Lonchura striata: one gene and its partners. The protein of the gene in region 2 purifies or fractionates together with the protein of the main gene of each other region. This does not show direct contact. Links are inferred from orthologs where the notes say so. Each region holds a gene or a part of one and is shown on either strand. Other genes may lie near its edges. The genes, in order: ARPC5, ARPC1A, ARPC5L and ARPC3.

Region 1 (8,008 bases), on a different chromosome or scaffold from region 2:
CTCACCAGCCAGGAAGGGAGTTTTGGCCAGGCTCAGGGCCTGGGCACTGTGGCAGGAGCTGTCCCCATGCACGCACCTTCTCGTGCCACTGCAGCAGCACAGCACTGCTGTTGTCAGAGGGGCTCTCAAAGCCCTTGTAGATGTATTTCATGAGCAGGTCCACCCCGTTCTTGTCCAGAGACTGCACCGCCTTCTCAATGTCGTTGGCTTTGAAGGAGATGAGCACCTTCAGCACGATGCTCTCAGCACGATCCTGTCAACAGGCAGGCACAGACACAACCATCCTGGTGAGAGGCACAGCCAAACTGCATTTTTTTCTTTAACACCTCTGAAGAGGACAGTGTGTGAAGAGCTTGTCATAGAAAGATTAATAGACACATCCTCTCAAGGATAAACAAGGTAAAAGAGTTTAACACATTCGCCCTCCTTTAGTTTTTATGCCTCTGTGAGTGTTTGCAATTCTCCGCCCCTTAATTATAGCTAAATAGTAAATGTTCATTTGGAAGCTCAAGATGTATCAAGTTCCAAAATAATTATAACAATCAAGTGCTTATCTGGCCCCTCTTCCCACTAGAGCCTTTTCCATACCTCTGTACTGTTTAACGTGACACAACCATTATGATCCAGGGAAATGCCATTGGAAGAGGTGACTGCTGGAAGCCACGTGCTTTCCAAGCAGTCCCAGGCACACTGGATGCAGACTGGCCATTAATATTAAGAATTAATAACGTTTGATCTGGATGTCATTTCAGGCCTGGGAATGTGTGAGGTGAGCTTACAGCAGCAATTAGCCATGCAATCAGCAAGGAGCAGCTCCTCCTGTTCATCCATCACTAACTGAGGCAGGATGAGAGAAAAATGTCTCGGGGTTGCTGGACGTTTGAATAATTCCATCGTACAAACATGTCAGGCACCTTCCCCCTACAGAAACTGTGGATGTCACTTTTCCTGCCCAATTTAATAATACTCCATAATCACTTGCTTTAGCAAGACTTCTCACATGACTGTAAGTAAAATTATTTAAGTTCCAAAGATAACCAAAAATTAATACAGGTATTAATGTTCAGTCATTCTACCCTCTTCAATTCCACCACCAAATGTATTCTTAAATCCTTCAATAGAGGGCTAATGGAAACAAGTCATTAATGTGAGGACAAAGCTATACAGCTCTATTTGTAACAGCTGGTTCTCAGAGCTCTGTAAAACCCTTCAGGAAAGGGCTGGGGCTGCAGGAACAGCTCTGCCAGGAACCATGGAGCAGGGAGCCATGCCCCTGGGCCTCTCCTTGGGCACGGAGAAGTAACTGCAGGCACTCACCAGCTGGGCACTGCCATATCTTATCAGCCTGTTCCTCCTACCACTGCAATCATGAGCTATTCAGGATCCATCCTGGGGATGTTCAGAAATGCACATACCCAGCAGACTCCCACACTATCACAGGGGGAGGACTTGCTTTTCCTGAGGTTTAACAGCTTCATTTTGATTGGATGTGACAAAAAACAATTCTTCCTTTTTTGTAGGCTCACTGCTGGTGGTTTCATTAGTCAGAGGTGACAACTGCAACCCTGGCTCCCTGAGCACACAAGGATTACATCTGTGAGCTGCCATGTGTGGTCTGAGGCAGACACAGGCACATGATGACACCTGGGCACACAAAACACAAACAGCACTGGCAGGAGAACCACACCTGATCCAGCACCAAGGTAAAGGTACGTGGACAGTACTGTACCTGAGCTACAGTATTTTGAACAAGATTAAAACACTTGTGGTCATGGATGTTTCACCCTAAATTCTGCTCCTCTTGCCTCCTCAAGGTACAACTAGTGGCACAGAAGTAACAGAGACAGGAAAGGATTTTTAGGGAGTAACCCATGAGCGAGCAGTTGCTATTTTACCTTCACTGCCTGGTTCTTTGTGTTGATGGGAGGGTTCTTCAGAGCTGCCTGCAGTGCAGCCATCATGTTCCCTGTGCCAGATGGTTAAGGACCAGACACCAAATACACGGACATCAAGTACCAGGACAGCTATATTTGTAGCTGGCTTGTGCATGACTGAAAACACTCTGATGCAGGGATTCCCTCACCAGCTAAGAAGACATTACAGCCTAAGACAGCAATTTTCAGGCCATTTGAGGCAGGAGCAGCATCAACAAGCAGCTGTATAGTTCCGGGACTGCTGAATACTTCCTAGGCCATTCCCTGAATGAGTAATAGAAACCATTCTCCATCACTTCTGCAATCTGTAGCCCCCGAGAACAGATCTCAGCTTGTCACATCCAGCCCCAGCAGCCACTGGGACAGCAGCCCAGGGAAAAGTGACCAAGGGCCAGCTGGGCGAGGCAGCCCTGGCAGCGGGCACGGGAACTCTTTGGGCACAGGAACGCCCTGTCTGCATCCCCGGGACACCGCCCTGAGCGCGGCCCCGGGGCACTGCGGCTGCTGCGGGCAGGGGAGGAAGCTGGGCCGCCTTCCTGCTGCTAGCCCCTTCCCCTGCCAGCCCCTTCCCCTTCAGCCCCTTCCCCTTCAGCCTCTTCCCCTTCAGCCTCTTCCCCTTCAGCCTCTTCCCCTTCAGCCTCTTCCCCTTCAGCCTCTTCCTGCTGCCAGACTCTTCCTGCTGTCAGCCCCTTCCCCCTTCAGCATCCTCCCTTGTCCTTCCATCCCCTTCCCCGCCTGTCCCTTCCCCTCCAGTCCGCTCCCCTCCATCCCCATCCCCTCCAGCCCTCTCCGCCCATCTCTCCCTGCCCACCGGTGCCGCTCACGCTGTTCCCCTACAAGGCCGCCCCGGCGGCGGCCGCGCCCGCTCCGCCCCCGCCGCTCCCCTCAGGATATTGTCGCAGGCACGAGTCCACCTCGCCCTCATCAGGCCCCGCTTGCCCGTCGCCGCCGTCCTCCTCATCCACGAACTTGTTCTCGTCGTACTCGTCCACGTCCACCCGGCGGAACCGCGCCGAGGACACCGTGTGCTTCGCCATGGCCGCGCCCGCCCCGCGCAGCCGCGGCCGGCCCGGCCCGCCCCGCCCGGCGGCGCCGGCGCAGCGAGCGCGGCCCCGGCCGGGGAGCCGGGGGGACCCGAGGGCGCGGCCCGCCCAGCCTGCTCCGGCTCCCACCACCTTGGCCTTGGATACTTGAGGCAGCCACGGCTTCTTTGGCACTCTGTGCCAGGGCCTCACTCGCGGGGAACAGCTTCTTCCCAATAGCCAGGCTAAACTTATTCTCCTTCAGTTTGAAGTTTCACAGGTTCACAGAGTATTCCGAGTTGGAAAAGACCCCCAAGCATCACTGAATCCAGTTCTTAAGTAAATGGCCCATACCGGAGTTGAAGCCACAACCTTGATGTTACTGTCACCGTGCTCTGACTGACTCTGAAGCCATTCCTGCTTGTTCTGTCACTCCAGACCCTTGTAAATAGTGTATCCTCGGGATTCCCAACAGCTCCTCCAGGTACTGCAAGGTCACAGTGAGGTCACCCCAAAGCTGCTCCAGGCTGCACAATCCCATCTCTCCCATCCTTTCCTCCCTCCCTGTGACCATGCTGTGCCTCCCCTGGGCTCTTCCAGCAGCTCCAGCTCCTCCTGTGCTGGGGCAGCTCTGCAGGTGGGGTCTCAGCTGAGCACGGGGCACAGGGGCAGAATCCCCCTCCCCTGCTGCCCACGCTGGGGCTCAGCCCAGGGCAGGGGGTTCAGGGCTGGGGCAGCTCCAGCTCTCACCCTCAGCACCCCCAAATCCTCCCAGGGCTGCTCCATCTGCTTGCCCCCTCCCCGGACTGATCCTGGGAGTTGCCCCGACCCAGGTGCAGCAGCAGCACTTGGCCTTGTTAAATTCCATGAGATTCCCACGAGCCTCTTCCCAAGCTTGTCTGGGTCCCTCTGTCCACCCCAGGACAGCGCCAGGCTGGGCAGGACCCGTGTAGCTTCAAGTGAGGTGGGAGCTGCCCTGCTTGGATTGCTCAGGGAGCTCCTACTCCAACAGCACCTAGTGACCTTGAGAGTTAAAAAATAGCCACAGCCTGTAATTTTTTAAAGTTACACTTAGCCTCTGTAGATAATAATTACCCTATTATTAATTAGGAAATGACACAGCTTTGTGAGGTTCCTCTTAAGAGAAAACAACAGCCCTGGAAGAAAAAATACACACACACACACACACACACACACACATATAGATACACATATTACACCCACCACTAACCCCTGTAATTTATTCCTGTATCAGCCCTACCTGCAGGACCACCCACCTCCTTGATAGAGGAGGAATTTAGGATATGTCCCATGTTCCCCAAAGTTGCCTCAGCTTGGGAAGCTGCAGTCCAGTTGGAACTGTGGCTGTAGCTTGGGACTGCTGGCATTTTTCTGCTGGAAATTGGCTTAAGGGCAGCAAAGTAATTGCAGGAGGTAAATAGACTGTCAGAGAGTCACAGCATGGTTTGTGTTGGAAGGGACCTTAAAGGTCATGTAGTTCCAACTGCCTGCCATGGGCAGGGAGTACTGAGGTTCAGGGTTTACTGCCCTGGCTTAAGAGGTTGAGGATTAAAACCAAAGTATGTTCATAATCCATTATTTAAGACCCACAGTTATTCCATGGATTAAATTTGGCTGGAGGGGACTTTATTGGTGTTTTTTGCCATCTGTGATCTCAGTTTCACACCAAAAAGTGGGTGGATCTCTGCCATCCTCAGAGCAGGCGTGTGCCACAGGGAAACGCTTCCGAATGAGGACTTCCACTGAATTATTCCTTTGGCATTTTTGAATGCCTTACTATATTTCTGCATCTTGGCTATAAGCTGTTCCTTCTGAGAGGGCAGAAATGCACCTGGGAAAAGCCCTCCTTGTCTTGGAGACATCAGAGGAAGCAGAATGTCTTCCAAGGCTGGGAAAGGCTGTTGGGAGGCTGGGTGACAGAGGAAAAGGCTTTTAAATTCTGCTGTCCAGCTGAGTTCCCCTGCTTTCCTTGGGGAAAAGCTGTCCTAAAAGATGTTTTAATTCCTGTTAAGTTAATTTGATGTCAGTTTTGTGTACCTGCTGGCAGAGCTGGGTGACGAGGGGCTGCCCCCATGATGGCACACACAAAGTGTGTTATACATAAGAAATAGTGGACAGTCTCTTCAAATAGCTGCTGAAACTTGTAGCAGCATATGGAAACTTGGTTGATGACACAGAGAACAAAACTCTTGGAGCCTGGAGGCATTATTCACAAAACAGACTTTTTGCTAAAAATAAAGAGTAAAATTTTCCCTTATACCCTATAGAGGAAAAACTGTACAATAGAAACAGCCACACTTTTTAGAATTGTTACAGGTGATTCCATGATTCAATCTGGCAAAAAAAACAAAAACATGCAAAAAGAACTTAAAAAGGTGTCATTACCAGGTCCAGCTCAGGGTAATAGCAAATATTTATCTGATTTCCTTCAGTGGCTTTTAAAGTTTCCACTTTAGGGCTGTTACAATCTTTGCAAATTCTGTGGTGCAGAAGAAGGTTCCTCCCTGGTCTGGGCAGTTCCATGCAGCAGGATCTTTCCCAGTGCAAAGGCTTGGCCCTGTTTGAGATGGTGGCAGCAGGCAGGTTCTTTTAGATGTTTCCAGGTGCCAGTTTCTGGGAGATGGGAAGGCAAACAGAATTTGCCTTTGTGGGGCCAGGCATCTGTGGGAGTTGAATGTCTGTTCTGTGCCTGTCAATATTATTTTTTAATTTCTCAAGTGATACTATAGCCCTCTTTTATTAGTGAAGTTTTGCTACAATATTGTTATAGCTGAAATCTGGGTGTTCTAAGGAATGTCCAACTGAGATTCTTTCTAAATGATTTGTGTGTTTATCTAGTGTGCCAGCTGGACAGAAGACTCCTGTTGTACTTCTGCACCAAGGTTTTCCCTTTCTTCGGAAGTTTGTGTTCCCGTCCCTGAGGCTTTAATTCCAGGAAGCAGTGGGTCATTCTGTGAGTAAGCTCAGTCATGCTTTGTACCAGGGTGCCAGAGGAGGGAAAACACAAATTTTGTGTGGGTGAACAGCTATTGGCTCAAGCAGGAAATTATTTGTCTTCACTGCTGCTCTCATTGCCCCTCATCATTCTTGGATCTTCATAATTCTTTTGCTGCTCCACTGTAAAACATAGCCATCTGCACATTTTATCACAGCTCACTTTTGCATACCACCGTTTTGCCCTCTGTATTTAACTTTTTCCTTAAATTCATAATTTTTAAAATTTGCTTTGCTTTCCACTCTGACTCTATAGTAACTTCTGTGTATTGTCCTCATATATTTTCATGTATGTATGTGCTGTAGTTCCTTCCTGATCCAGACCACTGTGCTGTTCTCATTCAGATTTCTCCTAAAGATTGGCTTCCTGACATGAGGAGTGGTCCATTTGTCGTTTCTGGTGTTTCTGCACATTTTGGATGGTCAGCCGTGCTCTGTTGTGTGCAGTGCAATGTCACCCTGGCAGTGCCGTGCCCCGGGAAATAGAAAATGCCGTTGCTCCCTGGCATAAAGGAGGGCAGGTGCGGAGAAAGGAGTGTTTTCCTTTGCAGAGGGGTGTCAGGAGAGGGTGTCACCCCCGCCACTTCTCCTGCAGGCTGCCAGTGCTAAAGACAACTGAGAAAGCTGCGAGTGTGGGATAAGGTTCCCATTCCTGCTGTCCCTGCTGGTGTTCCTGCAGAGTTGGGATGGCCGCATGATGGCAATGTCGCACCTCAGGGATGCGTGTTGTTTTTCGGATGGAGCCGTTTGCTTCTCCAGCTCTGTTTAAGTGTTTCTAGAGCTTTTCAACCAGAGGCACCGGACATTTTACATCTCCCCCCGAAACCTGCCTCTTTATCTTTGGTTGGTGCTTCGTCCTGGTCAAAACCCGTCAAATTTTCAATCTCCTCAATCAACAGTATCACATCCTTACAGGATGGGAGTCAAATCCCAAACTACCTCTTTGGATGGGTTAATTGGAAGAGTGTTCCCACAACCAAAGTGCATTTCTGGACGTGCAGCATTAGCATCAGCCTTTGGCTCCTTTGCCAATGCTGTTCCTCTCCATGAGCCACCATTCTGATACAGGAGATGGTGTCTGTTGGATCCCTAGGAGCTCAAAATGAGTGTTAACAGATCCATATTTATCTCTCTCTATCTATCCAATTATACTTAAAATTATAGTTCTATCTCTGCCCCTCCCAACTATATTTGGAGGGGACTGGGATATAATTATAACTTTTAGAAATTATTTAACTTTTTGCTAAAATGCCTGTCTGGGGCAGAGGGCAGGAATGACTGATTAGTGCCCCATGACATGGCACAAATGTTCACAGGAGGAACTGGAGAGGAATGTTTTATCCAGTGAAAACCACAGGGAGAAGAGTCCCTAATGACTCTGTCTGGAAGTGAGCCAGGATCCAAGACATATGTTCTGCACCTAGGGAAAAACACCCTAATGATCAGGGCTGGGATTTTCTTTTTCTTTATTCAAATATTAGGTAAATTCTGGTATCTCTCCAGGCTAAAAAGCATGCAGAAATTCTGATCCATCCCAATGTGGCCAGTTTGGATGTGATTTTACTGATTTAAATGTGTGGGTTTGGGATTTCTGAAGATGTCTTTTGAAAGCAAAATTGTATGCATTGATTAGACAGAAGCTGATGTGTGATTATATGGAATCAGAATGTTTTATTCCCCAAACTAAACCATGATCTGCTTCCATAGGCTGGTATAAGTGCTGCTGTATGGGGGGAAAGGGATGCACACTCTGGAGCTGTCCCTGAAACGCTGCACTCAGGACAAGGATGGTTCCTCTCTTCTGTGCCTCTGAAATGTGAGTGTTGAAATTCTGCTGCATTTCTTAGTACAGCCTGGTGCAAAATAATCTCTGCTGGAAGCATTTTACACATTTTCATTCAGTAGGGAGTTTATCTGAGTTCAAAGTCCAGAGCAGTCACATGGCCCCCTAATGAGCCGGAGACTTGACGTTCCTGCGCAGCCCTAAGGTTTAAAAAATAAGAAACAAAGGATATGAGGGAAGAAGCAAGATCTGTC
Region 2 (7,523 bases):
GCCCTAAAAGCCAGATACACTTGCTTCTTTGTGTATCCTCACAGACAAGAGAGCAGGTCCTCAAGAAATCTAATAAATCTATTAATTTTACTATGGAAATGGAACAATCAAAAATAAAAGTATCTAGGACAAAGGTCAGCGAACTGATTCTAAAGCCTGACTTGTATCCAGGCTCACAGGCAGCACTACAACAAAATCTTTTTTTCAGGAAGCCAAACTGATGTGTAACTGTGATCTGCTGATACATTATTTGATAAAACAATTTATATGTATCCTACAAAAAATCACTAAGGTTAGTAATTAACTGATTAGTAATTTCTTCAAATTACTTCTAGCACTGAACTGTTTGATAATCAAGCTTCTGCCCCATGAAATTCAAACACTAGAACAAGCTGGATCATTGTAGTTTTTGAGTATTATGTTTAAAAAAGGCTAAATGCCTATTATTTTCTTGTAACTGATGGTTGTTACAAGAGACACTGCTGAAAATATGCAACTGGAGGCACATCCATCCACAGACACAAAGTTGTTTAAAATGTTTTTATTATATTATCTTTCATCCATTTATGCTGCCTTTGGTTTAATATAGGGCATAGAGTAATATATTTTTGAAATTAAAATATTTTAGATATTAAAATATTTTAGATATTGAAATACTTTAGGTATTAAAATATAGTATTCTATGTGCTGTATTAACCAGAGCAGCATGAACTGATGGAATATAACAACATAAAAACTCAGGGTCACCTGTAATAACAAAAATGTGCACAATTCAATACATCCAACTTGGACTTGTCAATTCCTTTCTTATATTCCATTAATTTTCACAGCAATTTATCACTGCCTGATGGATCAAAGCATTTTTACCCCCACATATCCATCTTAAAAGAACTATCTCCGTGATGTCATTCCAAGACATCCACACCCATTACAGCCTGGAATTACAACATACCCAAGTATGGCCATGTTAGCAGAGGGTGGAGACTTCAGGACAAGGTAGGAATTTGGAAGCAAACAGGAAATGAATGGCAATCCAACAGAAACTTGGGAGTGAAAGAAGGATGAGTATGCTCTCAGGGAGCCTCAGGAATTACTGTCACACCATCAGTTTAACAAATACCTTGAAAGTGCTGGATCTTGGAGCAGAGGTGAGACAGTATTTCACCAATGCAAGTAAGTGGAGAGACTTTTCACTTTATTTAGTTTATTTGTTTAAGGAAACTGAGCACTGTTATTCTAAAAATATGCAAATTATGGGTGCATTTCAAATGTACTTGAAATACAACTTTTAACAATATGAGCTTTTAGCCCAGCTCATAATTTTAACCAGCATGATTTTCACAGTTCTTATAATAATCACATTCCACCAATCAAATAAAGTATTAAATACACACAGTCCTGGGCAAAATAATTAATTATTGTTTGTTAATGTGAAAATGTTGCCATCATCTGGGTTACTTCTGCCCTTGGACATCCATCATTTGAGATTCCACATGTGGAAGCAAAACACAACTGCAAAGTGCTTTTTCCAGGATCTTGCCAACATTCAGTAGCAGCACATTTCCATATACAGGAAAAGTTCAAGAGCTGTTCCACCAACAAGGAATTCTCAGCCTTTGCTACTCTTTCCGAAATAAAATGTAAAAAAATCCACTCTCCTCTCCCCAAGGAATGCAGCTATTTTGAAACAGTTTCTAATACAACTGTAGTATTTTATTCACAGACTGGCATTACATATAACATATGGTCCCACCCTAACTCTTAGTTCAGGCATTTATCCTGAGCTGTTCCCAAAACCTATCCAAAGTTGTATGATCTATTCCTTCCCATTGATTGAATTACCTGAGCTCCACAACTGGCTACAAGCCACCTTTTTCTATTTTGGTTTGGTTACAAACCCATAAAACACAATGATGATAACCTCAAAAAGCACTGCTATTTCTCTCTCCTGATAGGCACAGTGATATTTTCTTTGAGAAGACAAATCTTAAAGAACTTTTCTAGTTATATTTATTCATTACTAATAGACAGACAAAATCTAGCTTGCATTTCACTAGGGAAAATGCTGCTGGCTTTATAATTCTTGGTAATCTCAATGCCTTCCTGTCATCCAACCCCAGAATCTCACGTGGGGAAGATACTGGCATGACTTTGTTACCAAGTACTTAATGCAGCTCTCCCTCAGTTTTATTTCAAAGGGAAAGCAACTGACTTTATAAAATATTTTTAAATGGAGGAAAAAAAAGGAAATCTTGCGCCTTTGTAGAGAAGCTCTTTCTGTTCAAGGCCGAAAAGGATCGAGGCTGGGATGTACAGCACTCAGCTGCTGTCACCTCTCTGGGGTGAGAAATATATGGTGAATGGATGAACAACTAGCCAGGATACGGACTCAGAAGTGGAGACGGAATGTTTGTGTGTGACAGCGAGAAAGGGATGCTTTTAATCCATCCTCAGAGCACCTACACCACTTCCAAACCCCTGGAAGCCAAGCACCTGCGATGAAGGAAGCCCCCAGCACTGTCAGTGCTGGGGATCTCGCAGGGGGGCGGCTCATCTCGGGCACCTCCCGGCACACGGCGCCGTCAGCCCGACAAACCCGCCGCGATGGGCACGGACCGTGAGCTGCGGCCCCGCCAGCACCGGGCACGGCGGGGGCCGCGAGGGGCACGGCGGGGGATAACGAGGGCGCTCAGCGGCGGAAACGGGGGGCAGCTCGCCTGTCCTCAGCCCCTCACGGCGAAGCGGCGCCCACCGCCTCACCCTCAGCAGGGCGTCCCCAGCCCCTCGGCGCGGCGATGCTGCCGCGCCTCCCCCCGCGCTCCGCTGAGGCCGGCGGGCCCGCAGCCTCCCGCGGCCGGGACTCACCTGAGGCGGCGGGGGCGGAGCGGGACTCGCGGACTCTGGGCAGTCAACGCGACTCCGCTCCGGCGGCGGCAGAGGCCGAGCGGGCCCGGCTCGGACACGGGCGGCAGGAAACGCGCTGGGCGCCTGCGCCGCCGGCCCGCCCCGCGCGCAGGGCGGAGCGGCGCCTGCGCGGCCGCTCAGGGCGGGCCGGCCGCGGCTGGCGCCTGAGGGGGACGGCTTTGAGGTCGCGAAATCCCGCTGTCGGTGCCCTCCTGCCCTGAGCCGCGTCAGACGAGCGCCGCAAACGCTTCCAAGAGTTGTCACTCCACCGCTTAGTAAGCTCTTCCGATGTCTGACCACCCAAGTAGTGAAAAAAAGATAATAACATCTAACCTGACTCTCCAGTGCTTTAATTTAAGGCCATTTCCTTCAGTCCTTTCCTCACTGCAGGCAGGGTAGATGAGGCTGGATCCCACCTCAATACACTCTTCTTTCAGATCTACTGCTGTAGTCAGCCAGAAGAACAAGGAAAGAAAACAGGGGGAAAAGAAGGTGTTTCCTCCTGCCGGGTTGTTTCTATGAGGAGAAAAAACCAAAGGTGTTGGTTATTAATTGTTCCCAGTAGATGAGTCCCAAAATACAGAGGTGCCACAGTGCTGGGCACACACATGAGATTGGGGTTCCAAACACCAGCACTCACAACCCATCCTACAGGATACATCACAGAGAACCTGTACTGGTATAATCACCGGTATAATGGAGATAAAATGCCACAAATATGAGAGCAAATGAATCCACACTGAGTCTCCTCAAGACTAAACAAACCCAGTTCCCTCAGCCATAAGGTTTTCTAGACCTTTCATGAGCCTTTTCCCCACCTCTGGACACACTCCAACACCTCAATGTCTTTTTTGAATGGGAGACCAGAACTGAACTCAGCACTCGAGGTGTGGTGTCACCAGTGCTGAGTACAGGGGGATGATCACTGCCCTGGTCCTGCTGGCCACACTGTCCCTGAAAGGGAAAGATGTCCTTGGAGGGGACAGGGCTGCTCTGGAGCCAGGCTGGGAAAGCTGGGGGTGATCAGCCTAGAGAACAGAAGATCCAGAGAGACCTTAGAGCCCTTTCCAGGACCTAAAAGGGCTGCAAGAGGGCTGGAGATGGACTTTGGACAAGGGCCTGGAGGGACAGGACACAGGAAAAGGCTTCAAACTGAAAGAAGGCAAGGTTAGATGGGATACTGGGGAGAAATTATTCCCTGTGAGGGTGAGGAGACCCTGGCATAGATTTTCAGAGAAGCTGTGGCTGGCCCTGGATCCCTGGAAGTGCCCCAGGCCAGGTTGGATGGGGCTTGGAGCAACCTGGGACAGTGAAAGGTGTCCCTGCCCATGACAGAGGGGTGGAACTGGATGATCTTTAAGGTCCCTTCCAACCAAACCATTTCATGATTCTATGATTGAGGGTTGGAATATCAAAATAAGTTAATGAGCAATAATTTGCCCTACTCTTAATCCCCTAGAGGAATTGCCTCTTCTTTGGGGTCTCATAGTTTTTCTCCTTCAAACTTGGGAGATTTTGTGAGCTCAAGTACAACAATAATGAACAAAAAAGTCTGGGAAAATGGGGAGAGATAAATGAGTCCCTGATATACTGAGGAGCAATAGAGTAGTGAGTTTAATTTCAAGTCTGAGAGAAAATAAACAATTTATAAGCATCTCAAAGGAAAAAAAGAAGGTGAATGCTGGCCAGTATGGCTTTGTCAGGAATGAATTGAGCCAATCTAATTTCCTCTTCTGGCAGCATAACAAGGATTGCAGATAAGGGCGAAGCAATGTATGTAATATATCTTGATTTTTAGTAGAGTTTCTGACACTGGCTTGCAGGGTATTCTAATAATAAACTGGGAAACCAGTCTAGATGATACTGCTCTAAAGGAGTTGCAAAACTGGTTGAGGGAAGAAGTACTTAATATCAGTGCTTGTACAGGGAATTACCTGTGCATTACTCATCTGTGATGCAATAATGCAATTACTGCATCTGAAACAGAGATTGAGTTCAGAATAAACACAGTGGCAGAACCAGGATTCAAAACAGGAGCTCTGAGGTAAACATGGGATGTGGTTGGGCAGCAGGTGCACTGCTGTTCACTCCAACACCATCAGCTTCAAATTTACACCACTGGGAATAGGGCAGCTGCAGGGAAGGGTGGAGGGGATGCTGAGGGTCAAAAGATGAACAGGAACAAAAACCATCTTTTTGCAGATGAGGTAAACTCCACACAGCCCCATGTGGGTAAGAAAATCTGAGTAACACACACAAAAGAATCCAGCTCTGCTGAGCTGCATTAGAAGAGCATTAGAGTCCTGTGCACCAGAGAAATGTGGATGATTTGGGGAAAAAGGTGACAAGAATGATCAGGGCTCTTTGAACACATTACTTCAGCTGAGCCTGTTGAGAGGACAGAAAACTGAGGGAAGATGTGAATAGTCTTGGAATAGATGAAAGGCTGCCGTTCTGAGGAAAGGAATAATTTGTTCTCTTATGGCCACAGGGTAGGGTGAGAAGTCATAAACAGAGATAACAACAAGGCAGATCTGGGTAAAAAAATGCCAGTGACTATTTTGAAGTAGTGAAGCCCTGTGTTAGGAGCTGATTTTACAGGATGGAGGGCTGCTCTGAGGAGTTTTTAAGAATGGATCTGAAATATTTGTCAGGATGGCAAAAGTGCAGTAAAAGGTCTTGTATTCAAGAAGTGGGAGTGGGTGGCCTCTGTCAGTGGTCCTGTGGCTCTGTGCCTGCAAGATGTGTAATCAGTGCAGCCCTTATTGGCTTAACAATGAACCTGCCCCAGCTGCAGGGATTAAAACCACACAACTAGGCCGAGCAGAGTTATGTAACTGCAACAAAATTACATTTTAAGTACGGTTTTATGTTTGCAAAATGACTTTCACCAGATGGAGGGAGAGCATCTAAATGAGGCGCTCTGCAGAGGTTTTAAGCATTAAAAGCTAAGACCCTGTCTCCAGTGTAGCTTCCCAAAGACTTTTCCACCACTGCTCCTGCTGTAATGCTGATACAAGTGCTCTGTGCTAATCCAGGAAGGATGCTGATGTTTTTGAGATTACAGCCTCACAAGCAAGGCTGAACTGATTTTAGTGAAAGTGGTTTCAATGCAATCTGACCTTAAGGTATATATGAAAAAAAGATTTAAGCTGGGACATCCTCATTCAGCTACAGGGTAGCAGCTAGTCAAAAAGAGATCTTCTGGAAGCATGCTGTTTGATACACAAACAGGTAACTGGTGAATGAAAAGTCATGGTTTGAGTGCATTCTAGGTGTGCATTGCCAGAGGAGCTGTTTTAGCCTCTCAGCTGTTTGAATTTGCTGTTTCTGTGCTCTCTGCCCTCCTGTTGTGATGCCTTACATCTTGAGTTTGAACAGAATACGATGTTCTGCCATCTCACTGTGAAAAATACAAGTTTTTCCCCATACACGAAACCTTAATAAGACTAGGAATAAAGGCTATTGATGAGAGGAATTATTTGCAAGAGATTACTTGGATCACATCTCCCATCCTTGACTTGAAAAATCTTAAATCTCTGTTAGCACAGATCCATCACAAAATGTTGGATGTGTTCAATCATTCCAGATGTAGCAGGAGTGTATTATTTGCAAGGTTTTGGGTCTGACACACAGGTAATTCTTTTGTCTGCAGATTCTTTCACACTTTTTCTGTGTTCTATTCTTTTGAGAAAAGATTTAGTCCTTACTGTGTACCCATTTGGGGAGTAGAAGGATATTGCTTCTTTTCCCTTTCTGTCTTACCATTAGTGAAAACATCTGTACTATCCATTAACTGTTCCAGGAGTACCTCTGTGCCTAAAGAGACTTGTGGAATATCTGTGTTCCCTTTCTCAGGGAACTGCATGAGTCAGCTGGTGTTGGGAACACACCTATGTTTTCCTCATCTCCATCCCACACCCTTTTCTGCTCTAATAAATTCATGGCAGGTAGATCCAGACATGGGAGCTCCAGCTTCCCTGAGCCACTGGCACAGAGGAAGAGGGTTGAGGCCTTGGATAACCTCCCCAGGAAGCAAAGCCTGAGACACAGTGCCAGATGTGCAGTTTGTTTAGAGCCATCCCATCTCCCTCTCCTCTGCATCTTCCACTTCCTGCATGGACTTCCTTTATTTGGCCAGGCTCTGTTCCTGTACCAGAAATGGTTTGATTTAGCAAAAGGAATCTTTGCAAAATTGACCTGGAACACATCTGATATTTGTGCATGGTGACATCAGGGTGAGGAGAACGGGCATGACCCTGAAGAGTTGTAGTTAATAAGTATTTTATAAATTGTGTGTTCATGTCTGTGCCCACATCAGAGACTGTGCTTGAGAGCAGGAAGGGGTTGCACAGAGGGTAGAGGAGAACAATCTTTTGTAGACAGTGATGCACACATTCCAGGGACTGTCTCAAAAAGTGCATCCAAGTCTACAAAGGTCCACATGTCAGGGATGCTGTCAGTATGAACTGAACATGAACATGTGCTTCCTGCAGCAGGTGTTTTGGAGAGGGAAAATGCTCTTGGTGTGCACCAAGTGCCATTGTGTGATGACAGAACACATCAAGCTGGAAGGGACCTGTAAGAATCATCCAATCAAACTCCCAAGTGGTGAAACA
Region 3 (7,995 bases), on a different chromosome or scaffold from region 2:
GCACTTCACTTTACATTAAGCCAACACCAGAGTCCAAGAGTCCTTCACCCACACGTTCTAAGAGCCCTTGTCCCACCCTCAGCTGCAGGATCCCAGCCTGGACACAGCTACCTCGGGACTAAGCAGGACACACGGAGCTTGTACCACCACACCTGGCTAAAGCAGCATCTGAAATACCTGTTCACTTACAGCAGTAGGAGGCAGGAGTGTGCCTTCTCTCTGCCCGTTACAGAAGGGAGCAGGAGAATGTCTTGGCTCCTGTGTGTGATAGTCGGAATATGCAGGAATACCTTTACTCTTCCCCCACCTTAAAGGTTAAAAGCATTCCAAGAGGAGGTTACTGTAGGATTTCAGTAGATTGCAATCTCTAATAAAGATGGACCAGTGTAATTTCAGCTTATTCCTTCTTCTGAGTCCAAACCTGACCGTCACCTCTGTCCAAGTTAACAGTCTTTAGACAGTCTTTCTTGCTGTGAGAACTCTTATAATGGAGCCCAGGCCTCCTACTGCCAGTGCCTGTGGGAAAGGAGAGAGGTTAAGAGTCACCACGTCCCACACAGAACAAACATCAAAGAGTTTAGCACAGAAGGGACTATGGCTCTTCTCCAAAACTAGAAACTGTAATTCTCCACAATCTAACTATCTTTTGCATCTCCAGTGTTGCAAGTCACTGACAGAGCAGAATGTCTCGCCTCCTGTATCCCTGAGGAGGAGGAGGAAGGGCTCACTTCAGTTGAATTTGTGTCCCTCAATATGAACAGTGTTTCCTTCTGAAGTCTAGAAGATGGAGGTGATTATGAAGAAAATAAATTTTTAAGATGACTGCTGGAAGTGGGGTGTTTACTTTGCAACCACAATCCAGTAGATTGCTCTACAGAGTACAAGAGCAGAAGAGACGTGGAGCTGGGAAACATGACTAGACAAATGCAAAGCACCCACCTGGAGCAGGACTGGCAGGTGAAAGCTCCTGAGCTACCAGACCTGCCACAGGCCTTTTCCAGAGGACAGACTGGTACTACCACTGAGCTGACTATGATCTGAGCAAGCCACACGTCCTACCAGTACTGCCACAAAGCAGGACACCAGGCTTTAAACCCTGCCTACTCAGACCTGCCTTGTTCCTTTCACAACAGAGAGCATGAGATGCCTTTCATGTCCCTGCACGCTCTGAGTATCAGTCAGGGTGGTGGTGTGTCACCTCCCACGCTGGGAGCACCACCCACGCTTACCTGAAAGCACCTCAGTGGAAACAACAGGAAAAAAAGAAAAAAAACCAAGCAGAAACATGTTCCTTGCTGTCCCGAGAAATTCTCTCCTCCCTTGTCAAGGCCTGGCAAAGCTGGTGACAGCAGCCAATAGCTGGAGTCACGCTACACCAGCTTTATGTACAGCAGGAAAAAGCTCTGCACCTCGGGAAAGGACAGTGGCATTCACAGCAGCTGCCCTGCACAGGGAGCTGCAGTGTGCCCAGGGATCAGTTTTCCTAGGAGCACTGACAGCCTGGGCTTCAGCCAAAGCCCCTGCAGGGGGGGAAGACTTCACTTGGATTCCTGCCCGGGGGCAGGGGCACCCAGCAGCTGCTTCAGGGCTGTGCCTCAACCCAGAATGTGCCTGGGCCCATCACACACAGGGAAGAAAGTTGCAGTATCAGCTTCTGAACACATCCCACACTCCCTGTTTCACAGCTGACATTCCAGAGGAACGAAAGAGGCCCCTGCTGGTCCCCATTGGAATCTTTGGAGACCTCAAAATCCTCTCCTGGGCAAACCAAACAGGTTTGCTAAACCCTGTGACTCAGCTGATGCAAACTGCCAGCCTGACTCCCTGAGCTCGGCCCCAGAGGAAGCTGCAGCTGCCCCGTCCATCCCATCACATCTCCACTCCCACCCTTCTCCTTGCTGGAGCCCCTGCCTGCCCTGGGGGCCAAAGGCAGCACAAGGAGAACTCCCTGCTGCAAGTTTCCTCTTCCCATGGCAGAGGGTAAGGTTTGAAATACAGGCAAAGGCTTTGTGAATGCAGGCTCAGAGAGAGCAAAGGTAAAAGGAAACAGTGAGCAAAGGTAAAAGGAAACATTCCTCCTCAGGGATGAGGCCCTGCCCCACCTGCTTCTCTTCAGGGGCTCTCCTGAAACCACCACTGGCCAGGACCCTGCGAGCGAGCCAAGAGTGCCCCCAACACGTACCTTTTCATGCCACTGGAGTAATATTGCACTGCTGTTTTCTGTTGGCTTTTCAAATCCTTTATAAATGTACTTCATTAACAAATCAACACCGTTTCTGTCTAAGGAATTCACCGCTTGTTCTATTTCACTGCTTTTAAAAGATGTGAGGACTTTAAGCATCGTTCCCTGCGCCTGCTCCTGGGAAGACAAGGCAAAGAGAGAAATGTGAGGACGAGAACAGCTGGAAACGATCCCAAGACTCGTGTTTGGCAAGAGGTGGCCACGCTCCAGGCTGGGTTGTCTGGGTGAGCGCGGTGAGCAGACCTGGGGTTAGCGGAGGAAGGGTGAACACGGCGGGATGCCCGTGCCAGCACGCTCAGGGCTGTGCCGGCAGCAGCGGCGCCGCTCAGACCGGCGGGGCGCCGCTCAGACCGGCGGGGCGCCGCTGTCCCCCCCGGCCCGTACCTTCACGGCCTGGCTCCGGCTGCTGCCCGGGGAGCTGCGGATGGCGGCGTGGAAGGCGCGGAGCGCCTCGCCCGTGCGGCGGCGGTCAAGGACTCAAACGGGACCTGCGTGCGCGGGACCGCAGCGCGGCTCCGCCCCGGCCGCTCCCCGGGACCCCCGGGACCCCCGGCCCAAAGGATATTGCCTGAGCAGCGCCTCCACCTCGGGGCCGGCATCGGGCTCGGCCGCCGCCGCCTCCTCGGGCTCCTCCACGAAGCGGTTCTCGTCGTACTGGTCGATGTCGAGGCGGCGGAAGCGGGACGAGAGCGTGCTCCGCGCCATCGCCGCCGCCCGGCCCCGGCGGAAGCGGCGGCGGAACCGGAACGCGCGGCGCCGCCCCGCCCCGCCCGGAAAAACAGCGCAGCCCGGGAAAATCCCAACCAGCCTTTAATGTACGCGTCCCGCCGCTGCAGCGCTCGCGGCTCCGGCCGGGATCCCGCGCAGAACGGACAGACCGGGAACGCGGAACAGCCCTTGGAGCGCTTTATTGGGATCCACGTAACACTCGGAAAACGCTGGCTCGGTCCTGCGCCGTGAACGCAGCACGGGCAGCCCCGGCCCCGCCGCACGCCGCGCGCTGACTTTGCTGCTGAAATTTCTTAAAACTTAGCAAAAACAAAAAGTGAACAAGAGACGGGCCCGAGCGGCTCCCGGAGCGTGGTGGTTAAAGGAATCGGTTCATCTAACCCAGGACTAGGCGAGGACTACATGCAGTAGTACAAATCTCAAGGACATATTACAAATACTCTGAAATTAATCTAGGGGCGAGGGAAAAAAAAACTTGCTACAGACACCATAATACACAATAAATTTAGATAATTTAAAAATAAAAAAGGCAAGAGGCAGCATTTCAGCAGCAAAGTGCTCAATAAAAAGTATATTGAAAAGGGGCAGGACAGGGAGAGGTGAGAGCAGGCGGGCGAGGGCTCAGAGGAAGTACGGCGTGGTTGTCCTGGGAGGAATGACACGCTCTGAGTCTGGAACTGCGCGGAATAACTTTGGTTCTCTTGTATTTACATCTTTAAAGACCATGATGGAGGCGATGTTCCCGCAGCGGTAGCAGTAGTTGGGAGCTGACCATACCGTTACCAACTTCTCATCAAACATGAATTTGTATCCTTCGTGGACGAGCTGGTGCGCTCTGCAGATCAGCTTCAGGTTGTTGATGTGAACAAACTGCAAGGGAAGGGGAAAATCAGCGTGGCCCGAGCGGCTGCTGCCCACACCACGTCTGCTCCTGGCCTGACCGCACACAGCAGCATGGAGAACACAACAGGAGGAGTGAGAGCACTGAGAAACCCCTGTGAAACCCCTGTAAAACACGGCTGGCGACACCCGAGCTCTGAGGAACAGCATGAGTCCTGGGGCTGTGCTGTCCCCAGGCTCAAGCCTTCCTAACATGCTGTGCCAGGGCCACACGACAACGCAGTTGAATGTGGCCAGGTCAGAGCCTGCCAAGGCCAGTGTGTAGAGCCCTGAGGAGTCTGCTCAGCACAGACACAATAAAATTAACTCAAAAATTGCTTAAAAAATGGTATTCTTCTCCTAGATCCTTAGGAAACCATTCCATAGACAGCCCAGGAACACAAGTAAGTCCCACCACATCAGACTTTTCAAAAGCAAGATAGGCATTAGTACATCTGGCAGTTACATTTGTGCTTTTAGGTTGAAGTGGCTCATTTTTTCCATCTGGCACAAGCCACGAGTTACTGGCAGAGGCGTGACGGGGGAGTTTGGTGTCCTGCAGTGCCCTGGGTGCACTCAGCACCACCCTGAGCTGAGCCCGTGGCTCCCCCATCCCCACCCCGGGCTGCGTGGCCCCGAGCAGCAGCGTTACCTCGTTGGTGACCTTGGCCCCGAAGAGCCAGCCCGCCCCGCGCGGGCTGATGGCCCACGTGTCCACGTCCTCCGGGTCCGACCACACCAGGTCGCAGAAGGCGCCTTTGTGAGGGATTTCCTGGTTCCGCTCAATGGTCCGGATCTGGTCCAGGGTCTTGATGTCTGGGGAGAGGCCTCCGTGCACGCACAGGATCTGCTCGTCTATTAGCTGCAGGGAGGTGACACGTGCACAGAGCCCTCAGCAGCGCTGCCGGGGAGCTGCAGCTCAGCCTGCAGCGCCTGCCAGGACCCCACCGCTGCTGGCCTGGCCTCTGCACTTACAGCTGCTATCGTGAGCATGTCGAAGACTTTGGTGCAGTACCTCCAGGCGTTGGCGTTCCCGTATTTGGTTTGGCACTCATCTGTTGGAGAGAACGGGTTTGTTCCTCTTGGATCTCGGGGAAACACTGACGGCAGAACCTGCATGCTCAGCTGTGTCACATGAGCTCTGTGCTGGGTCCTGCTGCTGCCCAGAACCAGCACCAGCAGCAGGGAGCAAGAACCTCACGCTCTGCCTGTGCCACTGAACGTGGCACAACACAAGCAGAAACCCCACGTGCCAGAGGAAAAGAGCAGCGAGATCTGCCTCAGACACGTTCCATTTCAGAAGCACCGTGACCTTGTCACCAGTAACAAGCTGCAGCCCGTGTCCCAGCCAGCCCCGAGAGCCCCGGCCCCGTGTCGGTGCCAGCGTGCTTCCCGGGCAGGACTCACCGTAGAACCCGTACACCTGGGTGATCTGCCGGCTCTCGTGGTTGCCTCGCAGCAGCGTGATGCGGTCAGGCCACTTGGCTTTTAGTGCAAGCAGGTATGTGAACGTCTCGAGGCTGTAATACCCTCGGTCTACAAAGTCCCCCTGGAGGCAGAGACGGCGGCACTTGGAGCGACAGTCACACGGGAAAGTGCCCGGTGACAGATCCGCCCCCAGCTCCTCAGTGCCACAAGAACCCGGCGCTGCAGGGCAGGGGATCTGCGGGACCCGCGGGGCTCTCCTCCCCTCACCGCTGTCCTGAGCTGACCCGGGACAGCCTGGCAGGGCGGGATGCTCTGCCTCACCCCCGGGCTCCCGGCAGCACAACTGGGGGCAGGAGCCAGCAGCGGCCCCGGGACTCGGGAGCCCCTCGGGACTTCCCCCCAGCCCTGTCAAACCCGGCGCGGCCCGGCCGCACCTACCATGAAGATATAGTTGGTGTCGGGAACCTGCCCGCCGGTCCGGAACAGCTCGCACAGGTCATAGAACTGCGGGGGGAGAGCGGCGTGAGGGGGCACCGGGCACCGGCACCGGCCCCGGCCCGGGGCTGCACCGGGAGCGGCCCGGCCCGGCCTTACCTGCCCGTGGATGTCCCCGCAGACGGTGACGGGAGTAGAGACGGGCTGGACGTTGGACTCCTCCAGCAGCAGGTCACAAACATAGTCACAGAGGCGCTACGGGAGGAGCGGGGCAGGGTCGGGGTCAGCGCCGGGACCACCGGCACCGCCCGCTCCGGCCCGCCCGGCAGCGCCCACCCCGGCCCCAGCCCGCCCCGGCTGGCCCCGGCCCGCCGCCGCGGCCGCACCTTGAGGTCGTTCTCGGGCAGGTACTTGCAGAGCCGCGCGATCTCCACGTACTTGTCCAGGTCCAGCGGCGCCATCTTGGCTCGGGCTCGGGCACGGCGGGCCCCGCCCGCCACTTCCGGCCGGCGGAGCGCGCCGCGGGCGCGGGCGGAAGCGCGGGGCACTTCCGGCGGCACTTCCGGCCGGGCCCGGCAGCGGCCATGGCGCCGTGGGCGCTGCCGCTGCTGCAGCCGGGGCGGCGGCCGCGCCCGGGACGGTGGTGAGCGCGGCGGGCACGGCGGGGGCACGGCGGGGGTGATGAGGGCACAGCGCTGAGCGCGGCGGGCATGGCGGGGGTGCTGGGGGCGCGGCGGGGGCACAGCGCTGAGCGGCCGGGGGAACCGGCGGGCCCCGGGCCGGCCCAGCCCGCGCTGAGCGCCGCCCTCGTCCCGCAGGTACCGGCTAAGCCCTTGCGGGGAGCGGCCCCGCGGCCGCGTGGGACTCGGCTGCCTCCTCCTCCCCGGCCGCGTCCTGCTGCTGGCCGGTGCCGACCCCGCCGGCGCCTTCGCGGACGCGCACTTCCTGGAGCTGGGTGAGGGCCGGGCCGGGCCGGGGCCGGAACGGGGACCGGGACCGGGACCGATCGCCTGTCCCCTCCACAGCCCCGCTGCGCTGGGTCCCCGCCGGCTGGCGCGGGCTGAGGCCGCGCTACGAGCACGCCACGTTCCTGCCCGCCGGCCGCGCCCCGCGCCTCTGGGTGTTCGGCGGAGCCCACCCCGCCGGGAACCGCAGCTGCGTTCAGGCGCTGGACCCCGGTGAGTGCCCCGGAGCGGGGCTGCCGGACGGGCTGGGCCTCTGCTCCCGCGCTGGTTGCTCGGTTAATCGAATGTCTTCACTAGAAACAGGAACGTGGGAGAGCCCTGCAGTGAGGGGGGAGCAGCCACAACCTCGCACATTCCACTCGTCCTCGGCGGCCGTCGGGGCGCGGCTGTTCGTGTTCGGCGGTGGAGACAAGGGGGCAGAGCCGGTGAAAGACCAGCGGCTGCACGTGTTCGACACAGGTACCTCCCACCTGCGGGATGGAGCTCTGGGCTGTGTCAGGGGGCTGCGATTGTTGTCTGGGGGCGAGTCCCACGGGATGGTGGCTGTTCTTCCTTTGACAGGCCCTTATGTTCATGTGCTCACTGGGAATTCAGACCCGCTTGCTGGTCTGTAGAATTTCCGGAGTTTTCTTCCTGATGCACATGCACTCCCATTTTTAGCCACCCTGAGCTGGTCCCAGCCTGAGACTCGTGGTGATCCCCCTTCTCCTCGGCACGGACACGCCGTGGTTGCAGTTGGGACCAAACTCTTCATCCACGGGGGTTTAGCTGGAGATGTTTTTTACAATGACCTGTTCTGCATTGATACCAGTAAGTGTGGATGGAGGTACTGCAGCACCTGTGAGCGAAGTGCTTTGATTTGGGGGGACATTTTTTCCTGAAATACTAGTTCTTAAGTGCTTTAAGTATTACCTTCTTTGTTTAAATCAAGGAAATGTGTGGGGTTTGTGTAATGCATAACTGCAGAGGTGTTGTTTCCTGCATCAGCTGACTTGAGATGGGAGAAGATCCCGGCCACCGGGGATGTCCCGGGAGGACGGGCATCCCACTCCTCGGCAGCGTTCCAGGAGCACTTGTACATTTTTGGTGGAATAGGTCCAGATGGGCCACTGGACACCACGTACAAGTATCACACAGGTAGGAGGCTGCTCTCAGTGGTGCCAGGGTAGGTGCCAGGCACTGAAGTTACACTGCTGCAGGACTGAATGCTCAGAACTGTTTTAATTCATGGTGTCACTGTCTGCTGTGTGATGTTTAAAGCTGTGACTGTATCTTTGCACTGCAGGAAGGCAGCACTGGACACTCCTGCAGTTTGAA
Region 4 (7,949 bases), on a different chromosome or scaffold from region 2:
ACCTGAGGAGGGACGGGCTGGCGGCGCGGGGCGGTGCCGGCGCTGACGGAACGGAGGGCGCCGGGAGGATGCTCGGTACAAGCACCGGGGGGATCCCCGCCAGGGGCGGAGCGGGAGCGGGCGCGTGTGGGAGCCGGCAGGCGGGGGCTGCGCGGGGGGGCCCGGGGGCGGTGTCGGTGTTACCGGAGGCCCCTCGGGCCGCGGCGGGTCCCGGTCCCGGTCCCTCACCGCGCGCGCACGTGCGCCCGCCCCAGCGCCGCCGTCTCGCGAGAGGGGCGGGCACGGTTTGACCCCGCCGGCTCGCCGTACGGCGGCGGGCGGGGCCGTGCCGCGGAGCCGGCCGGGCTACGGGCCGCCGCAGCGGCCATTCCCCGCCGGGCCGCCGCAGCCATGCCCCGGTACGCGCAGCTGGTGATGGGCCCGGCGGGCAGCGGGAAGGTGAGCGGGGAATAGCGGGGAAGGGCGGGCGGAGGGAGCTCCCTGCCGGCTCCTGACGGCCGCGTGTGCCTTGCAGAGCACGTACTGCTCCACCATGGTGCAGCACTGCGAGGCGCTGGGCCGCGCCGTGCAGGTGGTGAACCTGGACCCGGCGGCCGAGCTCTTCAGCTACCCCGTCATGGCAGGTGAGCGGCGGCCCCGGGCACGGCTGGGCTCCGGCTGCCCCGAGAGCGTGCGACCGGACCCGTTCTGTCCTCCAAAACGGAGCCCGTGCAGCGCCGGGGGAAGATGTTGGAAAATCGTTTTAATAAAGTAACGTGTGATCCGTAAATTAAGGAATAATTCTGGTCTGCTGGCAAATAATGCTCAGTGCCTATGTCAGAGGTTGATGCACTCTCAATCCCTGTATTTACCTACACCAGTGATTGATAGGTACTGGCAGATGCCTCAGTTTCAAGAAAAACAGCAGTGTTTGTATCTGAACAAAGATGATAAAAGCACACCCTGACCTGCCCACATAGATGAGATACTTTCAGGAGGAGATATTCATTAGACCATAAGAGGAAAATCTTGGGGAATGAGATGTTTCCTAGACAATCACCAGGAACCCTCAAAAGACCCTCCCCAATAAATCCCGGGAAGTATTTAGCTTATATTTACCTGTTTAACTTTCCTGAACATAACGTGTTGTGTTTGGTGCTGGCTGTGCCTGTGCCAGGGAGATCCCCCTGCACCCAGCACTGCTGTGAAGTTTCCTCAGCTGCCAGAGTTCATTCCCTGCCTTTGGGGCCGTTTGTGTTGTCGCAGACATCCGCGAGCTGATAGAGGTGGACGATGTCATGGAAGATGAGTCCTTGAGGTTTGGCCCCAATGGTGGCTTGGTGTTTTGCATGGAATACTTTGCCAATAACTTCAGCTGGCTGGAGGAGAGCCTCGGGCACGTGGAGGATGACTATGTTTTGTTTGATTGCCCAGGTAAAGCCACACCAATGTTTTGGCATCACTCTTCATAAGCGTTGGAAAATTCGCAAATTGGAAAATGTGGTTGTGGAGGTTGTGATAATTCCCATTTTGTTCAGCTATTATCAGTTGTCAGAGTCACTTTCAGGTGTCTCAGGAGTGAACTTGGTCCTGGGCTGATCTGGGTGACTGCGCAGCTATTTGGTAGCATCATGAGCTGTGGCAACTGCAAACTAACACTAACTGGGGACCAAAGGAGGAAAAAACCTCCTTTTATTTCTTTTCTATTTCACTCAAACACAGGCTTCCTCAAAAGAAGGTGCTTTCCTTACTAGTTTTTATTTAAGTGCAGTTCCCATGTCTAAATATAACTGTGTACTGTTCTTGTTTGCTTCACATTCCTACCTGTTAACATCCTGAGTGTGCTCCAGGTCAGATTGAACTCTACACACACCTGCCAGTGATGAAACAGTTGGTGGAGCAGCTGCAGCAGTGGGAATTCCGTGTCTGTGGAGTTTTCCTTGTGGATTCTCAGTTCATGGTGGAATCTTTCAAGGTATCCATTTGAAATCTGTTGATAAAGTTCATTTTAATAAAGAACAAGAAGTCTTAGCCATTCAGGGAGCTGGGTTTGCCCAGAGGGAAAATTGCCAGGTGCAGGGAGATGTGGTTGCTGTCATCAGCTGCCTCAGACACAGCCTGCAGCAAGGACAATCCCAGGTGGATGTAAAGCAGCACTGGGAGAGTGAACAGACTGGGACAGGCACAGAGGGATTGTGCAGTGAATGTTCACAGAGTCAAAACTTGACTGGGCAAACCCCAGAGCAGCCTGCTCTGACCTGGAAGTGCTTCTGTTTGAGCAGTTGTAGGAGCCAGATAACCTCCAGAAGTCCCTTCCAACCTAAATTCTTCTGTGATTCCATGAGAGCTTTCTCAGATCCCAAGAACAAGCAGGCCACCATCCCCATTTAGCAGTAACTATTCCAAGAAGGGTTTTGGTTTTCTTAATGTCCTTTTCAGTGGCAGATCCATATTTGAGGCTCCAAAAATTTTTCCACTTCCTCTTTTCAACAGAGAGAATGATTCCTCATATGGCTTTGTGTCCATGTTCCATATATTCATTACCAGATTTGGCCTGTGGTTGAGTGTCCTGCATGTTTGTGTTCTGTTTTTGTGTACTTTAATACATCATTTTTCATCCTCTTCAAGTTTATTTCTGGAATCCTGGCAGCCCTCAGTGCAATGATATCTTTGGAGATTCCACAGATTAACGTCATGACCAAAATGGATTTGCTGAGCAAGAAAGCCAAGAAGGAAATAGAAAAGTGAGTTCCAAAAAATTATTTACTCTGTGGTACAATATACTGAAACAAAGTTCACTTGAGTCATGTTTCCCACAATTAAAACCTACTCATTTGGAATGGGAGAAGATGGATTTTGTTTCAAACAATAATCTCTAAACATTGGGTAGGATGCTTAATTTAGTCAGAGTCAGAAAAATAGCTCCATGTTTGTACTGATCTCTGGCTATTTCTGTAAATAATTATCTTGGATCTTTTGTGTCACTTTGAATGACAGACTTTCAATGTTGATGATGACTTTGTTTCTCCAGGTACTTGGATCCAGATATGTATTCTATGATTGAAGATTCTACAAATATATTGAAAAGCAAAAGGTTTAAAAAACTGACCAAATCTATATGTGGATTGGTAGGTACATTGCTTTTGAGCTAGTGCCCTAAAATTCACTATCACTTTTTGCTTAACTAATATTTTTTTGTTTTTTCAGATTAGCATGAGATTCTTGATACTACTGATAAGATACTCTTGATATCTGGATTATAGCCAATACATTTTCTTTGAATTCTTTTCTGTCGGCAATTTTGGGAATTTGCTGCTGCATAGAATTTAGGATTGGTAGCCAGGTGTTCTGAGTGGGGAACTGGGAATTGCCATTGGTTTGCAGTGTGAGTTTAAATGCTATTTTAGAAGTCCAGAAAAGAGTGGTTTAAGGAAGAGGCTTTGAGTGCTGTGATTGAGAATGAACTTTCTGCATTTCCCTTCTGTAGATTGATGATTATGGCATGGTTCGATTCCTGCCTTTGGATCGCTCTGATGAGGAAAGCATAAACATCATTCTGCAGCACATAGACTTCACCATTCAGTATGGAGAAGATCTGGAATTTAAAGAACCAAAGGTAAGGGACTGTTGCTGAGAAGATGAAAAATTAGAAAGTATCCATAAGAGAAGTTGTGATATAAGTATGTTCTTTGCTTTGCTAATAAATTATTCTCTTTGTACGGTTCAAAATAAGCTGTGTTTAGTCTTTCAGTGGTAATGCTTGTATCATCTTCATTTAGTTATAGAAATGAAATTCTTTAATATAATCTTGCATATGCAGGTTGATCAAGTGGTTGTTTAAAAGTATTGGTTTGGTTTTCAAAATTAACAGAGTTTTAACCTTCAAATACCAGAAAGGACCACTGAGATCACCAAGATTTTTTCCTGCATGACTGTTCAAAGTCCCCTAATGATTCCTGTGTTCAGACCAGGAAGGTTTATGTTTTTCTGGGGTTTTTTTTGACAGGAATGTGAAGAAGATAAATCTGCTCTTGTGGATGAATACTTTCAAGATCATGTGGATGAGTAAGAAACATGTTCAAACTCTGAGGAAAATACTTTGTTTTTGATAAAAAATAAAAATAAAATAAAAACCCCCCAACCCCTACACAAACACGCCTGATGTTTTATCTGTAAAATAACTAATATTTATAATGGAGAGTGAGTTATATGACCTCGTAACTACTTTAATAAACAATTTTTTTTACTATGCTTGGGTGTGTTATAAAATACATAGGCCAGTGTTAGTACATATAAACAAGCAGAACCAGAAACGGGCAAGAGGTTCAACAGACCAGCAAATCCTCAAAATATATTGAGGAAAAAGACTCAGAAAAATCTGTATGTGGCAGGTCTTGATCTGACTGAATTAAACCATTCAAAAGCTGGGGAAACCACCGTGGTTTAATTCACCTCCAGACTGCCACTGGGACGAGCCACGCTTAGGGCATGTTGAAAGGATAAACCCCAGCCTTGCAGTTGAATTATTGTGACTCACCTTCCAAACCTCCCCACTTTGTCTCCCTGACTCATGCCGGGAGTCAGATACCAGGGAACAATTTCAGCAACGCTGGATATCAGGGAAGCAATTGATAGCAATTTGAGTGTGCACCCTAAAATAGTGTGTCCCTCTGAACACAGCGCGTTTGGACCCGTTTTGTGTTTCCTTGCACGAAGTGCCGTGCTGGAAACACCCAGGGGAGAAAACCAGCGGCCAGCGAAGCATCCCGGGACCCCTTCCCCGAGCGGGCGGTGCCCCTCCCGGGACCGGCAGTGCCCTGGGACAGCAGTGCCTCTCCGTGGCCGCTCCCCGTACGGGCAGTGCCGGGGCACGGCGCTGCCTCCCGGGATCCCTTCCCGGTGCGCTGCCTCCGGGGCGGTGCGCGGCTCCTCCTCGCACCGCCTCTGCCGCTGCCTCATTTCCTGCAGCGTAGCGGAGGAGGAAGCTCTGTGCCCGCTGTCCTGCCCGGCTCGCCCCGCTCCCCTCCCGCCCGGCCCCGCCGAGCCGCCTGCTGCCCTTCGAGATGCCGGTGAGCGGCTCCGCGCCCGGCGCCGCGCGGCCCCGGCGGCGGCAGCGCGGGCGGGAGGGCGCGGGGCGGCGGGGCCGGGGGCGGCGATCCCGGCCGGGGAACGGGCTCTGCTCGCTGCGGGGTCCGGCCGGGGCACTGCGGGGGAACGAGGGGCTGCAGCTGCGGGGAGCGCTGCTGAGAGCGGGGATGGCTCTTCATGGGAGGCTGCTGCAAGGCAGCGCCTTCCTCTTCCTCTTCCTCCTCCTCCTCCCCCTGCCAGGGATCCACCCGCAGCCGGGAGGGTGCGAGCCCCGGCAGCAGCGGGGGAGAGGGCGGTCACAGCAGGGCTTTGCCCCGGCTTTGCTCACGCCACCTCTCAGTGAAATAAACTGCTTTTTATACATCCAGCCTCTCCCAGTCACATCCTCCTCTGCCCCCCCACAGAGGGTGGGTTGTGAGATGAGGGATTCCCAGTGGCTTGCACAGCACCTTGGAAAGTGCCTAGAACTAAACTCCTTAGTTGTTTAAAATCGGTTTTTCAGGGAGAATTTGTTGTATGCGGAAAGCTGGTTTGTTTGTCACTTAAATCACTTTTGTTGCTTTTGTTGATTTTTTTTTTTACTGCACTGAGCCTGCTTTTATTTATAATTATCTACTATTAATAGCCAGTCGTGGAATTAAATTACCTATTTTTTAATGACCAACTAACTTTCAGTGCAATGCCCCAAAACTCAGGCAGGTGAGCAGGGCTGTTACCCCTTGGTGCAGCCAGGATGGGGTAACAGGATGAGGCAGCCTGGGGATGAACTGTGCCTGCAGACCAACAACACAGATTTTATCCCATCTCCTGGTGCTTTCCTGGTCTTCACCAGAATGGCACTAAGATCTGGACCTAAAGAGAAAATAGCAATTGCTTGTGCAAGGAAAAAATGATGGAAGCATCATAATGAACTAGGCTGTGACTCCTGTTTGATGAAGACATGTGAATGGATATGGAAATGTCCATTTTCAGTAGGATCAATAACCAGCTCTCCCTGTCTCTAGGCTTACCACTCCACTTTAATGGACTCAGACACCAAGCTGATTGGGAACATGGCACTGTTACCCATCAGAAGCCAGTTCAAGGGCCCAGCACCTCGAGAAAGTAAGATTATAATAATCTCTGAATTACTGGATGTAGCTCATCACCTCAGGGGTTGCTCTAAGACAACCCCATTAAGAGTGATGAGAAGAATCACTGGTGGGAAATAGAAAGATTCGCAGTTTAGAGAGGAGGAAAGTTTTCAACTACTTCAGTTGTGCAAATTGTAGAAAATAATTATGCACAGATAATTGTGCTCCGTGTTGTGCTGAGTTAGGGGTTTCAGTAATCCAAGCCTCTGGCTGCTGTTCTGGTGCCTCCCCCTGTGCTCCTGAGCAGGGTTTTGAGGAGGCTGTGGTGGTGTGAAGCCTCTGTGTCAGAGGAAGTGGTTCAGCTGCAGAGAACTCGTGCTCTGGGCTGCTCTGAGGGACAGCAGCACTTACGGGTGTGGGGCTTCAAAAACTGCAGTGAAGTTCCAGGCACCCCGAGAGGGCCCACAGGCACACGTTCCCTTTCAACACCTGAACTTCCCAGGTGTGGTATTCCCCAGAAATGTGGGATTCAGTTTGGAAAGGGAAATGGAAAGGAAACGTTTCTGGATTTAAGCAGTCTTGGATGGTAACAAAGGTCAGATTGTCACTGTGTTCTGCCCCCCTCCTTTATTTGAAGAGGATAATGGAATCCGAGTGATGTGCTTTCTCCAAAAACTTTTTTTCTATCCTTTTATGATGTTAAAACTGTGATGAGTTACTCAAAAGTGGTAGAAAAGTGAGGAACTGCTGAATTGCTGCTATTTGTGAAGTGACATATCAGAGGGGAAGGAGAAAGGAGTAGGAAGCTTAAATATTACAGTCTGAACTCATGGTGTTTCAGAAGTTTTCTGTTACGTGGTGCTGACTTCTGCTTTTTGTAAATACCATGGTTTTGTTCTTGCAGTAATCCTTATTTATATATTTCAATGAGTAAAAGTTATGACAAATGTAGTGTAACAGAGCACTCCTTAACTCTATCTCTTCTTTATAGCTAAGGACACAGATATTATAGATGAAGCCATCTACTACTTCAAAGCTAATGTTTTCTTCAAAAATTATGAAATTAAGGTAATTTTTTGAGATACTGAGTATATTCTAGTTCTTTGGAGGGTTGGTTCTGTGAATATAAATTTATTTTCAAGGAAGTAATTTTAAGAAGATCACAAAAACTCCCCTTCCACTTAATCTTTAAAGTTGGGTAAATGTCATGAATTGCAAATCTCTCTCTCATGGGGAAACTATAGCCCAAAATGGCTTGAATTAATTCCTGTTTCAGACTTTATCAGTTCCACAAAGTGCTGTCATCTAAGAGTTCCTGCTCTTGTTTTGCAGAATGAAGCTGACAGAACACTGATCTATGTGACCCTCTACATTTCTGAGTGCCTGAAAAAGCTGCAAAAGGTAAGAAAACTGAATTCCTGTGCAGGTGGGAAACAGTCTGTTCTGAGAATTGTTCTAAGGAAAGGATTTCCTGATATTCTCCTTCCAGGGGAACAGATAATCCTGTTCACCCCAGTCCCAGTTGTCAGAGCCTCCAATACCTCAAGGCTGTGGATGTGCTGTGTTGCTCTTGATGAGTATTCATATTCCAGATTTGTAAAATATTTGGGTCTAATGCTGTGTCAGTTTTTGTTCATAACTGCTAACCCATTGTTTGCCTGGTTCTTCCAGTGCAACTCCAAAGGCCAGGGAGAGAAGGAAATGTACACACTAGGAATCACTAACTTCCCAATCCCAGGGGAGCCTGGCTTTCCACTGAACGCCATTTATGCCAAACCTGCCAACAAGCAGGAGGAAGGTAAGGCTGAC

What was found.
Region 1: the proteins of ARPC1A (region 2) and ARPC5 fractionate together in Homo sapiens (co-fractionation; 8 studies listed by BioGRID and IntAct, counting the BioPlex papers as one, with this or other methods). This does not show direct contact. The link is inferred for Lonchura striata from reciprocal best matches to the Homo sapiens genes ARPC1A and ARPC5.
Region 3: the proteins of ARPC1A (region 2) and ARPC5L fractionate together in Homo sapiens (co-fractionation; 7 studies listed by BioGRID and IntAct, with this or other methods). This does not show direct contact. The link is inferred for Lonchura striata from reciprocal best matches to the Homo sapiens genes ARPC1A and ARPC5L.
Region 4: the proteins of ARPC1A (region 2) and ARPC3 purify together in Homo sapiens (affinity purification with mass spectrometry; 8 studies listed by BioGRID and IntAct, counting the BioPlex papers as one, with this or other methods). This does not show direct contact. The link is inferred for Lonchura striata from reciprocal best matches to the Homo sapiens genes ARPC1A and ARPC3.

Annotation. Positions count from the first base shown.
Region 1 is NC_134611.1:27,704,149-27,712,156, forward strand, and holds the start of ARPC5 (actin-related protein 2/3 complex subunit 5), read right to left. Parts: upstream 3,010-8,008; 5' UTR 2,972-3,009; coding exon 2,828-2,971; intron 1,968-2,827; coding exon 1,896-1,967; intron 254-1,895; coding exon 77-253; intron 1-76. UniProt on the Homo sapiens protein: Component of the Arp2/3 complex, a multiprotein complex that mediates actin polymerization upon stimulation by nucleation-promoting factor (NPF).
Region 2 is NC_134618.1:14,882,131-14,889,653, reverse strand, and holds the start of ARPC1A (actin-related protein 2/3 complex subunit 1A), read right to left. Parts: upstream 3,006-7,523; 5' UTR 2,866-3,005; intron 1-2,865. UniProt on the Homo sapiens protein: Probably functions as a component of the Arp2/3 complex which is involved in regulation of actin polymerization and together with an activating nucleation-promoting factor (NPF) mediates the formation of branched actin networks.
Region 3 is NC_134624.1:10,673,442-10,681,436, forward strand, and holds the start of ARPC5L (actin-related protein 2/3 complex subunit 5-like protein), read right to left. Parts: upstream 3,003-7,995; 5' UTR 2,948-3,002; coding exon 2,808-2,947; intron 2,709-2,807; coding exon 2,627-2,708; intron 2,360-2,626; coding exon 2,183-2,359; intron 517-2,182; coding exon 454-516; 3' UTR 1-453. Other genes in the region: PPP6C (serine/threonine-protein phosphatase 6 catalytic subunit), read right to left, coding at 3,593-3,841, 4,503-4,712, 4,826-4,905, 5,258-5,399, 5,717-5,782, 5,873-5,968, 6,100-6,174; RABEPK (rab9 effector protein with kelch motifs), read left to right, coding at 6,298-6,356, 6,532-6,668, 6,739-6,891, 6,976-7,137, 7,339-7,488, 7,666-7,815, 7,964-7,995. UniProt on the Homo sapiens protein: May function as component of the Arp2/3 complex which is involved in regulation of actin polymerization and together with an activating nucleation-promoting factor (NPF) mediates the formation of branched actin networks.
Region 4 is NC_134620.1:12,738,827-12,746,775, reverse strand, and holds the start of ARPC3 (actin-related protein 2/3 complex subunit 3), read left to right. Parts: upstream 1-4,937; 5' UTR 4,938-5,042; coding exon 5,043-5,048; intron 5,049-5,833; exon of another isoform or gene 5,834-5,919; intron 5,920-6,071; coding exon 6,072-6,171; intron 6,172-7,131; coding exon 7,132-7,208; intron 7,209-7,472; coding exon 7,473-7,541; intron 7,542-7,811; coding exon 7,812-7,938; intron 7,939-7,949. Other genes in the region: DENR (density-regulated protein), read right to left, coding at 1,099-1,119; GPN3 (GPN-loop GTPase 3), read left to right, coding at 391-438, 515-623, 1,246-1,413, 1,830-1,954, 2,608-2,723, 3,011-3,107, 3,467-3,595, 3,986-4,048. UniProt on the Homo sapiens protein: Component of the Arp2/3 complex, a multiprotein complex that mediates actin polymerization upon stimulation by nucleation-promoting factor (NPF).